Linked DNA regions of Ovis aries. The protein of the gene in region 1 interacts with the protein of each later gene in a biochemical or structural test. Links are inferred from orthologs where the notes say so. Each region holds a gene or a part of one and is shown on either strand. Other genes may lie near its edges.

Region 1 (3,654 bases):
ACAAACAAGTATTTTATTGCTTTGGTGAATAATTAATTGTATTTATTACATGAGAACTTCATAAATGTAATCAACTAATAAAAGCATCACATAAAAATAATTATTAGTCAAATTAAGGGGATAGAGCAATTAAATCAAAAAAGGAATTAGGTGTAGAACATTATTTAACTATCACACCTTAAATAGATTCTTTTTAACTTTCAAACTCAAGTTCTATTTTTTAGGGCACTTGTTAGAAGGCAAGGTGAATAAAGGAATCTAGCACATCTAAAAATTCAACTATCATTTGATTTTAATAGATACTAAGGATGAAATGGGATTACACTTCCAAATGTTTTCCTAGACTTTCCAAATCATAATTTTCCAAATTACATTTGGATTTTATATATATACATAAATTATATATACTAAATTTCCAAATTATATATACTAGATTTTCCAAATTATATTAGTTCTAACTCCCATTAATTCTGTTTGATATAAAATTTAAAATAATTTCAAAGGAATTATATTACTTCGGCAGACACATTATTTTTCCTTCTATGATCAAAACTATGAGAATCTCTTTCCTTACAAGTGTACAGATGTGTCAGACTGGAGTCATTGTCTTAAAAACTATCCTCACCAGGCACATGGATATTTTTCTTATGTAATCTTAAACAAATTTCCAACTCACAGATTAGAAAATAGTATCAACTCCTCCTAACAATGTAAAAACACAAGCAACCAAAACACAGAGTAACACATTTTAGAGACAAAAAGTGTGAGTGTAGGTTTCTTTTTTAACCTCCAACAATAGAAATAAAACTAAATAGTCCCTTGACAAGATATAACTTTACCTGGGCCATCTGTTGTATGACTGAGTTAAAATCTTCATTTCCTGACTTTGGAGTCCAAGAAAATAACCCAGATACAGTCAAGTTATTAGAGGACCTGTGGGCATTCCCATTAGTAATGGCACCATCCGTGAACACCAATAACCCTTTCCTAGAAAAATCAAAGTTGGCTGAACAATCTGAGGGTATATGGCTGAGCTGTTGGAGGAAAAAAAGAGAGAATTATCAACAGAAACCTACAGATAAGAAGTATTTCTATTTATTAAATATTATATTTTATCTCTCACATGTATAATGGCATGCTAAATATAGACATGTGAAAGAAATGATACAGATACATGAATCTGTGTTTATAAGGCTATAAATGTTTTATTTAGTATTATACAAAATGTTTAACTTATTCTCATTTCCCGCCTTCTACCGTTACCTCACGTTAATATAGCATGTAATATAGCTCATCATACTTTACATACACAGACATGTCCAGTCACATAAACATGCATGTAAGGCCCTGAGCCCTACTGCATTTATCTATACATTTCTGTGGCTCAGTTGGTAAGGAATCTGCCTGCAATGCAGGAGACCCAGGTTTGATCCCTGGGTCAGGAAGATCCCCTGGAGAAGGAAATGGCAACCTACTCCCGTACTCTTGCCTCGAGAATTCCATGGACAGAGGAGCAGGGCAGGCTACAGTCTATGGGATCGCAAAGAGTTGGAGGCAACTGTGCGACTAACTTTCACTTTCATACATTCCCACGTGCGGAAACACAAAAGATCTGCAGGTAGTATATTCAAAGGTAACTCAGCATTTATTAAGTGCTTGCTATAAGTAAAGTACTATACCCAAACTCCTATATAGTATCTCACTTAATCTTTACAATAGCCCTAGAGATACTCTTATTTCATTTTGTCAACATGGAAACTGAAGCACACAGGGATTAAACAACCTGCCCATTAGTAGCAAATGTATTGCAAAGCCACTTAAACACTCGTGGGGGGAAAAAAAGGTGGGAAATTAAGGAAAAAGAAAAACAGAGGTTAATTTTTAAAATATCATTGGCTGAGGGACTTCCCTGTTGGTCCAGTGGTTAAGATTAAGACTCTGCACTCCCAATATAGGGAGCATGGGTTCAATCCCTGGTCAGGGAACTAAAATCTGTCATGCCTCATGGTGCGACCAAATTAATTAACTGATTGATTTAAACATACCGCTGGCTGATACAGGTACCAACACAATAGAACAAAGGAAATATCAAGAACAAATGTCATAAGACTCACAGAAAAAAATCAACACCCATAAAAACTCTATGAAAACACAGATATGAAAAATCACATGGATTTTATAGCTGACTGAATAAAATATGATTATTTACATAATAACTGCACACTAAATAAACATAAAAGATTGTTATTATGATGGAACAGTTGCTTAAGTCCAATTTTAGTCCAGTATGAGTGATAGATTTGTAGGGATCTTTCCCAACTTCTATTGCCACCAATAGCATTCACTGCTGTGATGTACTCATTCCATTATCAGAATATAGAAGCTTCAATATGGGGAGTGCTAAAATTCTGGTATAAATTTTGATCTAGAAGAAGTAATTCACAGAAAGACATATGTGCAGAATTTAATCCTTAGTTAGTTATAGAAAAATCACTTGCTAAATATTTATGGATAGGCATTTTGGTTTATCAGCAAAAAGCATTTTTTTCTGCAAATTTTGTTAATTTTCACATAACAACTCTGCTACATTAACTACATTTAAAATTCTGCCCATATTTAATCTATAAGATAGCTACTATTCAAGCTCAGCATCTAGAATAGATTATTTAAAATCAATTTGCCATCCCTGACCCCAAAATAGAACAACCAAAAGAGTAGGTAAAACTCTTAATATCACTCCAAGCAGAGGGGCTATGTGTCCTGTAATTCTGAAGAAAATGTTGAGAATTTTCAAAGCATCTGAACTTTACATAAATAAGTATAAAAACTAGAATCCAAAGCCAAACACAAAACTTATTATCAACATTTTTAAACTATCTATGCCAATACTACCTGCACACAAGTCCCAATACAGCCTCTTTGCAGAATTAACAGTAGACTGTTTGTATCTATTTCCTTCTATCTTTCTTTGCTGGTTTGAATAATAGCAACAGGTAAAACCTTGATGGGTAACTTACTTGCCCCTTCAGTTGCTTGATGGACTGTTGAAGTGTGAGTATCTGGTTGAAAAGGGGGCTCTTTAGTGTCTCATAGAAAAGAGAGAGCTTTTCATTCTGTGAAGTGTCACCCTTCTCCTGCAATTTCATTTTCAAGCGATCAAGAACTTGCAGGACCTGCAGTTTATCTTTTTTAAAAAGGATAATGAGTACAAGTTAAATCTCATCTTACATTCCATTTTTAAATAATTAATTTAGTGAAAGAAGTATATATCTAGTTTACCTGTAGCAGGATTTTCAGGCATTTTGAATTACTGTCTTCAATCACTTTTAAAGAAACCTAAAGAAAACAATTTAAATACGAGAAAAATTATTTTCCATCAGTGTATACAATTCTACAGTCCTATAGAAAAGTCAAAGAAAACCTCAAGAACATTCTCCATCAAAATATTTCATTCAAGAAATCCAAATTAAAAGCCATACACAGCCACTAAAATGGCTAAAACTTGAAAGCAAAACAGATCATTGTAAGTGGTGACAAAAACGTGAAGTAACTGGGACTCTGAGACATTGCTAGTAGGAACGTAAAATGGCACAAGCACTTTGAATAACTGTTTGACAGTTTTTTGGAAGTTAAAACTACACTTACTATATGACC
Region 2 (4,184 bases), on another chromosome or scaffold:
CAGCATTCCAGGCTCCAGGGAGGTAGGAAGCTGAGGAGAAGAGGGGAGCAAAGCCAAGGGCGGGGCCTCATGAGCCCTCCTGGGAGCCAGGTCTGCTTTGCACCACCAAGATTCAAATCCTCCAGTGTGCACTTGACAGGCTGTGGTGGTACTTCTCCAGCCTCATCTTCCCCATCTGTACAATGGGTACCTCCCTCACCCCCGCTGCCCCATCTTTCAGTGCTGAGGTGTGAGAAGGGGGCCTGGAGTCTCCCACAAATAGCAGTAGGAGCCTCTGGAGGGACGGCAGTGGTTGTAGTGAGAAGTAATAATAATGACCTTTCTCCTCTGTGTAACATTAATAAGCAACACTATCTCATGAGCTGCCAGCGAGCACTATGCAGTACCCATTCCTTTACTCCTGAGGACCTCAGGAAGCGGCACTGCTTCTGTTCCTGCCTTCCTGCCTCACAGGGGAGGAAAAGGAGGCCCAGAGAGGTTCAGTAACTTACTAGAGGTCACACAGCACTACGTGAACCTTGGCAGTCTGTCCCATGCCTTTGCTCTCAACTACCTGGTCCCAGCATCCTTCTGTTTTTTGTTTTTTTTTTTTTTCCTTCTAAACTTATTTTTTGGAACAAAATCTTTTGGAACAAAATCACTTGCTCTGATTTTATGTTTGGTGTCATTAAATGATTCCCTTGCATTTTGAGTTCCTGGCTCTATTTTAAGAATCAGCCCCCAGGGAATCACAGCCCCTGAGGGGGCAGGCACAGGTGGCTGTGGCTTGCTCTGGCTTGTGCAGGTTCACCTCCATGGATACTGGCAGGCTCTCTGACACCCATAGGGTCACAGCCCACCTCAGCTTAGTTCACCCCCAACCTTTCCCTGGCTGACCCCTGTGCCTGGACACCCTCCCAACATGCATACAGCTGTCCCCTGACACTTGGGTCTCAGCTCAAATGCCACCTCCCCAGGAAGACCTCCCAGACTAGCCAGTCTTCTCTGGCTGGCATCCTACCATTCTTCTGCTTTATTTATTAGGTTTTACTCATGGCATCCAAAACCATCTTCAATTACCCTGTTTAATCATCAATTTGTGATTTTCTGATCTTTCCTCTTGGGTGTGAAGGCTAGCCGGGGCTGTCTCTCCGGGTACTTTGCTGATTGGTCCTCCAATCAGCCTCCCTTCCAGGCTTTTGCACATCCTGTACTCCCTGGCAAACTCCTTTTCATCCTTCACAGCCCCAGGGGCACTGTGTCTTCCTTCAGGAAATAAGTCCTCAACACCCCAGCAAGACACACACATTTCTTGCCTCTGATTATTGAGGCCTGGGAGGTCCCAGTCCACCTGTCTCCCCTACACCCGTGAGTCTGGTGATTCCTGGTAGGCAGGGTTGGGGGCCCTGGGACCCCATCATGGTCCCCACAGGACAGCGTGCGGGGGGTAGTTTGAGGAATGCACTAATGGTAGAATAAAAGGCTGATTTTGCCAGGAACTCTAGGTTCTCTGGGAGACAGTGGAGGACAGAGGAGCCTGATGTGCTGCAGTCCATAGGGTCGCAAAGAGTAAGACACGACTTAGCAATTGAACAACCAGCACCTGCATGTCTGTCCAGAGTTCCTAGCCTCCTCAGCCCCGCCCCCCTCCAGGTGAGCTCCGAGGGGGCGGGGCCCGGGCCTACATCCCCGCCCTTTGCCACGCGCGGGACAGAAACACCGGATACTAGAGGCCTCCAGAGGGGACTGGGCTTACCGAGTCACACCGGCCCGGGCACGTGGTTGCCAGGCTGCTGATCACTCTCCCCCTCCCCGCCCCCACCTCTGGGAACCACAGCGGGGGTCGGAGTGGGGGAGGGGAGGGGACCACAAATACTCGAGTTGAGGACGGGATTCTGGGAGCTGCTTCTTGCTGCCTGGAAGGAGAAAGAACTTCCCGGCCCTACAGCCTCGGGTGGTCTGGCCTGGGGCCAGCCACAGATCTCCCAAGCCTGTTCACCTGTTTACCCCTCTGGGGCCCGACCTGAGACGCAGAAGGGTGGGTGTGAGAAAGCCGGTTCAAGCTCCAACACTAGAGAACGAAGCACATCCCCCTCGCCACAGAGCCACGGGGATTCCCGGCCCCAGCCCCGATCGGCCTGCCCGATGCAGCAAAACTGGGCTCTCAAGCCAGATCCCCCAAGTTAACGACTCTGTATACAGCAGACACTCAATAAATGGTGATCCCCTCTTTCACAGCCTCACTGCCTTAGCCAAAGACGTTCCAGCCCACAAAGTCCCTGCCTACCGTCCCACCCTTAGTGCTCAAGCTCAACTCGGCCCATCCCCCTGGGAAACTGCACCCCTACTATGTACCAGGAGCATTTTCCCCCCCTCCTAGGATCCTCCCCACGCCCTTCTATAAAGTGACCATCACCCACTTTACAGACGAGGTTCTCAAAGGCGTGGACTCACTGGCTGGCTCAAAGTTACACAGAAAAGTCGGGATTTGAACGCAGGTCGGCCTGCTAAGGGGCTTCCCAGGTGGAGCTGGTGGTAAACATCCCGACTGCCTATACAGGAGACATAAGAGACGCGGGTTCCATCCCTGGGTCGGAAAGATCCCCTGGAGAAGAGCATGGGACGGAGAAGCCTGGCGGGCTACAGTCCCCTGGGTTGCTAACAGTCATACACAACAGAAGTGACCTAGTACACACACGAACGCTATCTGTTAAGGGAGGCAGACCCGGGGCAGAGGGAGCCCCCGGAGGCAGCGGTGGAGGCCAGTGGGTGCAGACGCTCCGCCCGTGCTAGCTTCCACATTCTCCTGGGCCTCAGTTTCCCCATCTGTTACCTAGGACGGGGGTGATCTGGAGTCCCGGTCCCGGAACCAGCCCCGACCCCACCTCGGTCCCCTCCCCCCTCCAGCCCTCCGCGGGCTACTCGCCTGGAATCTCACCGCCATAGTCCCCCCTGGGGGCTGTCCAGCGCCTCTGGCCAAGGGCGGGGGGCCTAGAAACAGTCAAAACTGGACCCCACCCTGGGGTGCGAGAGGAGGCTGGGGAGGGTCGCGGCGAAGCAGGTGTCCAGCACTTGCCCTCCTCCCGCCCGCTCCGCCGCCAGGGCTGCACCTGCACCTCTTCCTCCTGAGTCCCCTCCCGGCCCCGCCTCTGTCCCGACACGCCTCCGGGACGCCGCCCTGGCTGCCTTCGCTCCCACCGCGCCACCCCTCCCAACACAGGATCCAGGCCCTGGGGTGGGAATTCCAGGCCGCGTTTTCCGCCCAGCTGCGCACTAGCCGGCGGCCGGGTTGGAGACCCGCCAGGGGAGGCTGCAAGAAAGACCAGGCAGGGATTAAGGCCGCGTTTGGAACGGAGCCTGCGCTTTGGAAGGGGTTTCATCCTGGAAAACCTATGCGTGTTGAGATTCTGTAGAGAGACGTGTTATGATTAGGAGCTAGCCAAGGGTCAGACACCTCCCAAGAGTAGGGCTGATCTTTCTCAGTCACCTCATCTTCAGCAAGTTAACCCGATTTTATTTGATTTTTTCATTTTGGGGAGTTTATTTTAGAGAGGAAACTGAGGCCCAGAGAAACCTGGGGTGGGGTGCGGGGTGTGGACTTTCTGAAGGTGTAGGCTGATATGAGACTTCCCTTTTGATGTCCCCTACAGTGGAGGATCCAGAAGGTGCACAGCAGTCACCTCTGGGCCTGGCCAGAATCCAGTATTATCAGCCTGTTTTCCCACCTAGCCCTGGGTTGGGTCCCCAGCTAGGAAGGGCACACAGCGGGGACAAGGAAATTCTTTAAGATTCTTGGAGTAAAGGTCATGCTTCTTTCTCCACCCCCTGACTCACCCTCAAGGGACCTGTCTAGGAATAATCGGACCAGAGCAGGAAGCCCTCTACCTGGGGGTGTGGAAGGGAGAAAGTCACCTGGGTGGGTGGAGCCACCATTGGCTCTACCCTCACATTCCTTCTTGCTTAAAAAAAATAGACCCTGAGGCCTAACTGTTTCCTTGCCCCACCCAGGTCAAGGTTGAAGGGGCAAACCTGGGCATAGACACCCCTTTCCAGCCTCATCCAGTCAAGACTGGGCAGAAAGAAGCTCCAGATTAGGGGAAGAGGGGAGGCAGAGGGGGAAATTAGGGATCAGGGAAGTCTTCCTGGAGGAGGGGGCATTGCCACTGGGGTTTAGAACGTTGAATATTGCTGTTGTTGGTCAGTCA
Region 3 (3,011 bases), about 160 Mb from region 1:
TTGAAATGACTTGGTCTTCTACCACTCTTCTCTCATTGGTCTAGACATAATTGTTACATGTTCTAAAATGTGTTTTGTCAGGCACTCTGCAAGCAACCCGTGCCTTGATGGTGATCGGCATCCTGCTGGGACTAATAGCCATCTTTGTGGCCACCCTTGGCATGAAGTGTATGAAGTGCATGGAAGACGACGAGGCACAGAAGATGCGGATGGCTGTCTTTGGGGGCGTGATCTTTCTTATTTCAGGTAAGAGAGGCCCTGTCCCTCTTAGACCTTATTAAACGCTTTCTGACATTTTTTAAGGTCTAGTTTTTTTGCTTCCTTAGATCATGTTGGTTTTATTGCTCTTAAATCAATTGAATTCAGTTCCTTTAAAATATGAAGCATAGAAACTTTAAACCCAATTGACTTTCACTTTTTCAAATGGGAACTGAATAAAAATCTGAGATCTATGTTCACAGTTGACAGGTCTATTCCCTGAGGTTTCAGGTGCCAACTGATTCATTAGAAACAGTCTCCTCAAGTGAAGGGAGATATTTTTTCTATCTGGCAAATACTAAGGACCAATTCTGTGTAATTCAGAAAATTTCTGTGGTGTCTCTACTGATACTACGTGGGAAAGATGGGAAATGGTAAGAGAGAACATGAGGAAGGTGTAATCATACAGTTATAAATGAATGGAATGAGTAGGGCTGGGATTATTGAAGGAAGAGGAGGACATTATTCCATGTAAGCAGTACTGATTCTAGAATGAACAGGCTTTACCGATAGATCAATGAAGAGAAAGGTCATTTGGAGTTCAGGTGGAATATTGGAATGGTAGGAAATGAGAAGAAATGAGTTAAAAAGAGAAAATAATACAGAAAAGTCTTGGAATAAAAACCTTGACAAAAGAGTGAGATTACATTTTCCATAGACAATAAATATGTATTTATTGCTTTATTCAAATCTTATGTGACCTTTGAGAAAATGAGAGTCAGAAGAGGACAAGGACAGTTCATTTGTAAAGTCTTATAATAAAGTTAATATTAAATAACATCTCACATACAAGGTTGTCATTACCATCTTTCTAAATTCCATATATATGCGTTAGTATACTGTATTGGTGTTTCTGGATGCCTGGGGCTGGTGCACTGAGACGACCCAGAGGGATGGTATGGGGAGGGAGGAAGGAGGGGGTTTGAGGAGGGAGGGGGGTTGAGGATGGGGAACACGTGTATACCTGTGGTGGATTCGTGTTGATGTATGGCAAAACCAATACAATATTATAAAGTAATTAACCTCCAATTAAAATAAATGAATTAAAAAATAAATAAGATAATATGTGCATTAAAAATGTGTATGTATATAAAATAATAGACTATTATATGTCATATATTGTAGGTGTCTATTGTTTTGAAATAGACTATTACATATGCTTTCCTGATGGCTCGATGATAAAGAATCTGCTTGCCAATGCAGGAGATATGGACGTGATCCCTGGGATGGGAAGATTGCCTGGAGAAGGAAATGGAAACCCACTCCAATATTCTTGCCTGGGAAATCCCATGGACAGGGGAGCTTGGCAAGCTACAGTCCATGGGGTCACAAAGAGTCAGACATGACTTAGAGACTAAACAACAACAATAAGACTATTACATAAACTATATATGGTAGTCTATTGTTTTTGGAAATGACATTAGTAGTATAATCTACCACTAGGAAAAACTAGAATTAGATTTTTTCCTCATTTTCTCTTTAAGAAAAGTATGTGGATTTCATGAACAATGAAGGAAGAATGCTTGTGGCTTTACTAAACATTTGGTTACAGATTATTCAAATTACTACTGCAGAGCATTTTATTCCCAACACTTAGGTTTTACACCAAAGGCTAGGGATACACTTACTGAGTAGAACCTGTCCTCCGCTGATCTTCTAGTAACTCCCGTCCATCACTCCTGCAGTCTCACGGACTTCTAGGAGTGAGGGTTGCAAGTTCCAGAGTATTCATATTTTCTACTCGAGCAGCCAAAAGCCACAGTGTTTTCTTTCAAGTATTAGAAGCAGTTAGGTTGGACCACTTTTTTTGTAGGAGGAAGAGGGCAATGGGTGTAGCATAGAAATATTAATCTGTCTAAATTGATGAATTTTTAGACTGACTGTGTGCTAAGTCACTTCAGTCATGTCTGACTCTTTGAAACCCTATATACTATAACTTGCCAGGCTCCTCTGTCCATGGGATTCTCCAGGAAAGAATACTGGAGTGGGTTGCCATGCCCTCTTCCAGGGGTTCTTCCTGACCCAGGGATCAAAACCTGTGTCTCTTACATCTCCTACATTGGCAGGCATTTTCCTTAACACTAGTGCCACCTAAGCCCAGACTATAAAAAAGAAATTATTTAAGTTCTTTGGATAAGAAAAATTGAGGTACTATATACTTATTTTAATAAATGATAGAGTAGATTATTTTGACTAAGTGGTTTCTGTGGGGCTGCCCAGGTGTCTCAATGGTAGAGAATCCACCTGCTAATATAGGACATGCAGGTTCAATTACTGGGTCTGGAAGATCTCCTAGAGGAGGAAATGGCAACCCACTCCAGTATTCTTGCCTGGAAAATCCCATGGATAGAGGAACCTGCAGGCTACAATCCAGTCAAAGACTGAGCATGCACACGTGCACTGAAATGCGAGAGGCATGAGAAACTGGGAGTGCGCTGCGTACAATGATCTGATGTGGCGCCTCAGAGAATCTCATGGCCAGACCTGGAACATCTGGCCAATAGGGTGTAGGGATGTAGGTGATTGGGGTACCCTGAGCCAGGTCCAATGTGTTCCTGCTATCTGGCTATTTACATTCATTTTGATCCTTCAGAAATGTGAATTTTGCCTTTTGGCCAAGAAGAATGTGGAAGAGTTTTCATCTTCCCTTTTTTAAGTGACGAGCTTTACTAATAAGGACTTTGGTTTTATCAAAAGTAGTCTAGCACACTAATTTATAACAATCTATTTTAAAGAGATCTTAAATGACATGA

What was found.
Region 2: the proteins of PATJ (region 1) and TJP3 form a complex in vitro, tested with the Homo sapiens proteins (2 studies listed by BioGRID and IntAct, with this or other methods). The link is inferred for Ovis aries from reciprocal best matches to the Homo sapiens genes PATJ and TJP3.
Region 3: the proteins of PATJ (region 1) and CLDN1 form a complex in vitro, tested with the Homo sapiens proteins (2 studies listed by BioGRID and IntAct, with this or other methods). The link is inferred for Ovis aries from reciprocal best matches to the Homo sapiens genes PATJ and CLDN1.

Annotation. Positions count from the first base shown.
Region 1 is NC_056054.1:36,994,492-36,998,145, reverse strand, and holds part of PATJ (inaD-like protein), read right to left. Parts: intron 3,337-3,654; 5' UTR 3,302-3,336; coding exon 3,280-3,301; intron 3,185-3,279; coding exon 3,018-3,184; intron 1,035-3,017; coding exon 840-1,034; intron 1-839.
Region 2 is NC_056058.1:18,036,499-18,040,682, forward strand, and holds the start of TJP3 (tight junction protein ZO-3), read right to left. Parts: upstream 2,852-4,184; 5' UTR 2,599-2,851; coding exon 2,434-2,598; exon of another isoform or gene 2,400-2,433; intron 1-2,399. UniProt on the Homo sapiens protein: TJP1, TJP2, and TJP3 are closely related scaffolding proteins that link tight junction (TJ) transmembrane proteins such as claudins, junctional adhesion molecules, and occludin to the actin cytoskeleton.
Region 3 is NC_056054.1:197,862,351-197,865,361, forward strand, and holds part of CLDN1 (claudin-1), read left to right. Parts: intron 1-81; coding exon 82-246; intron 247-3,011.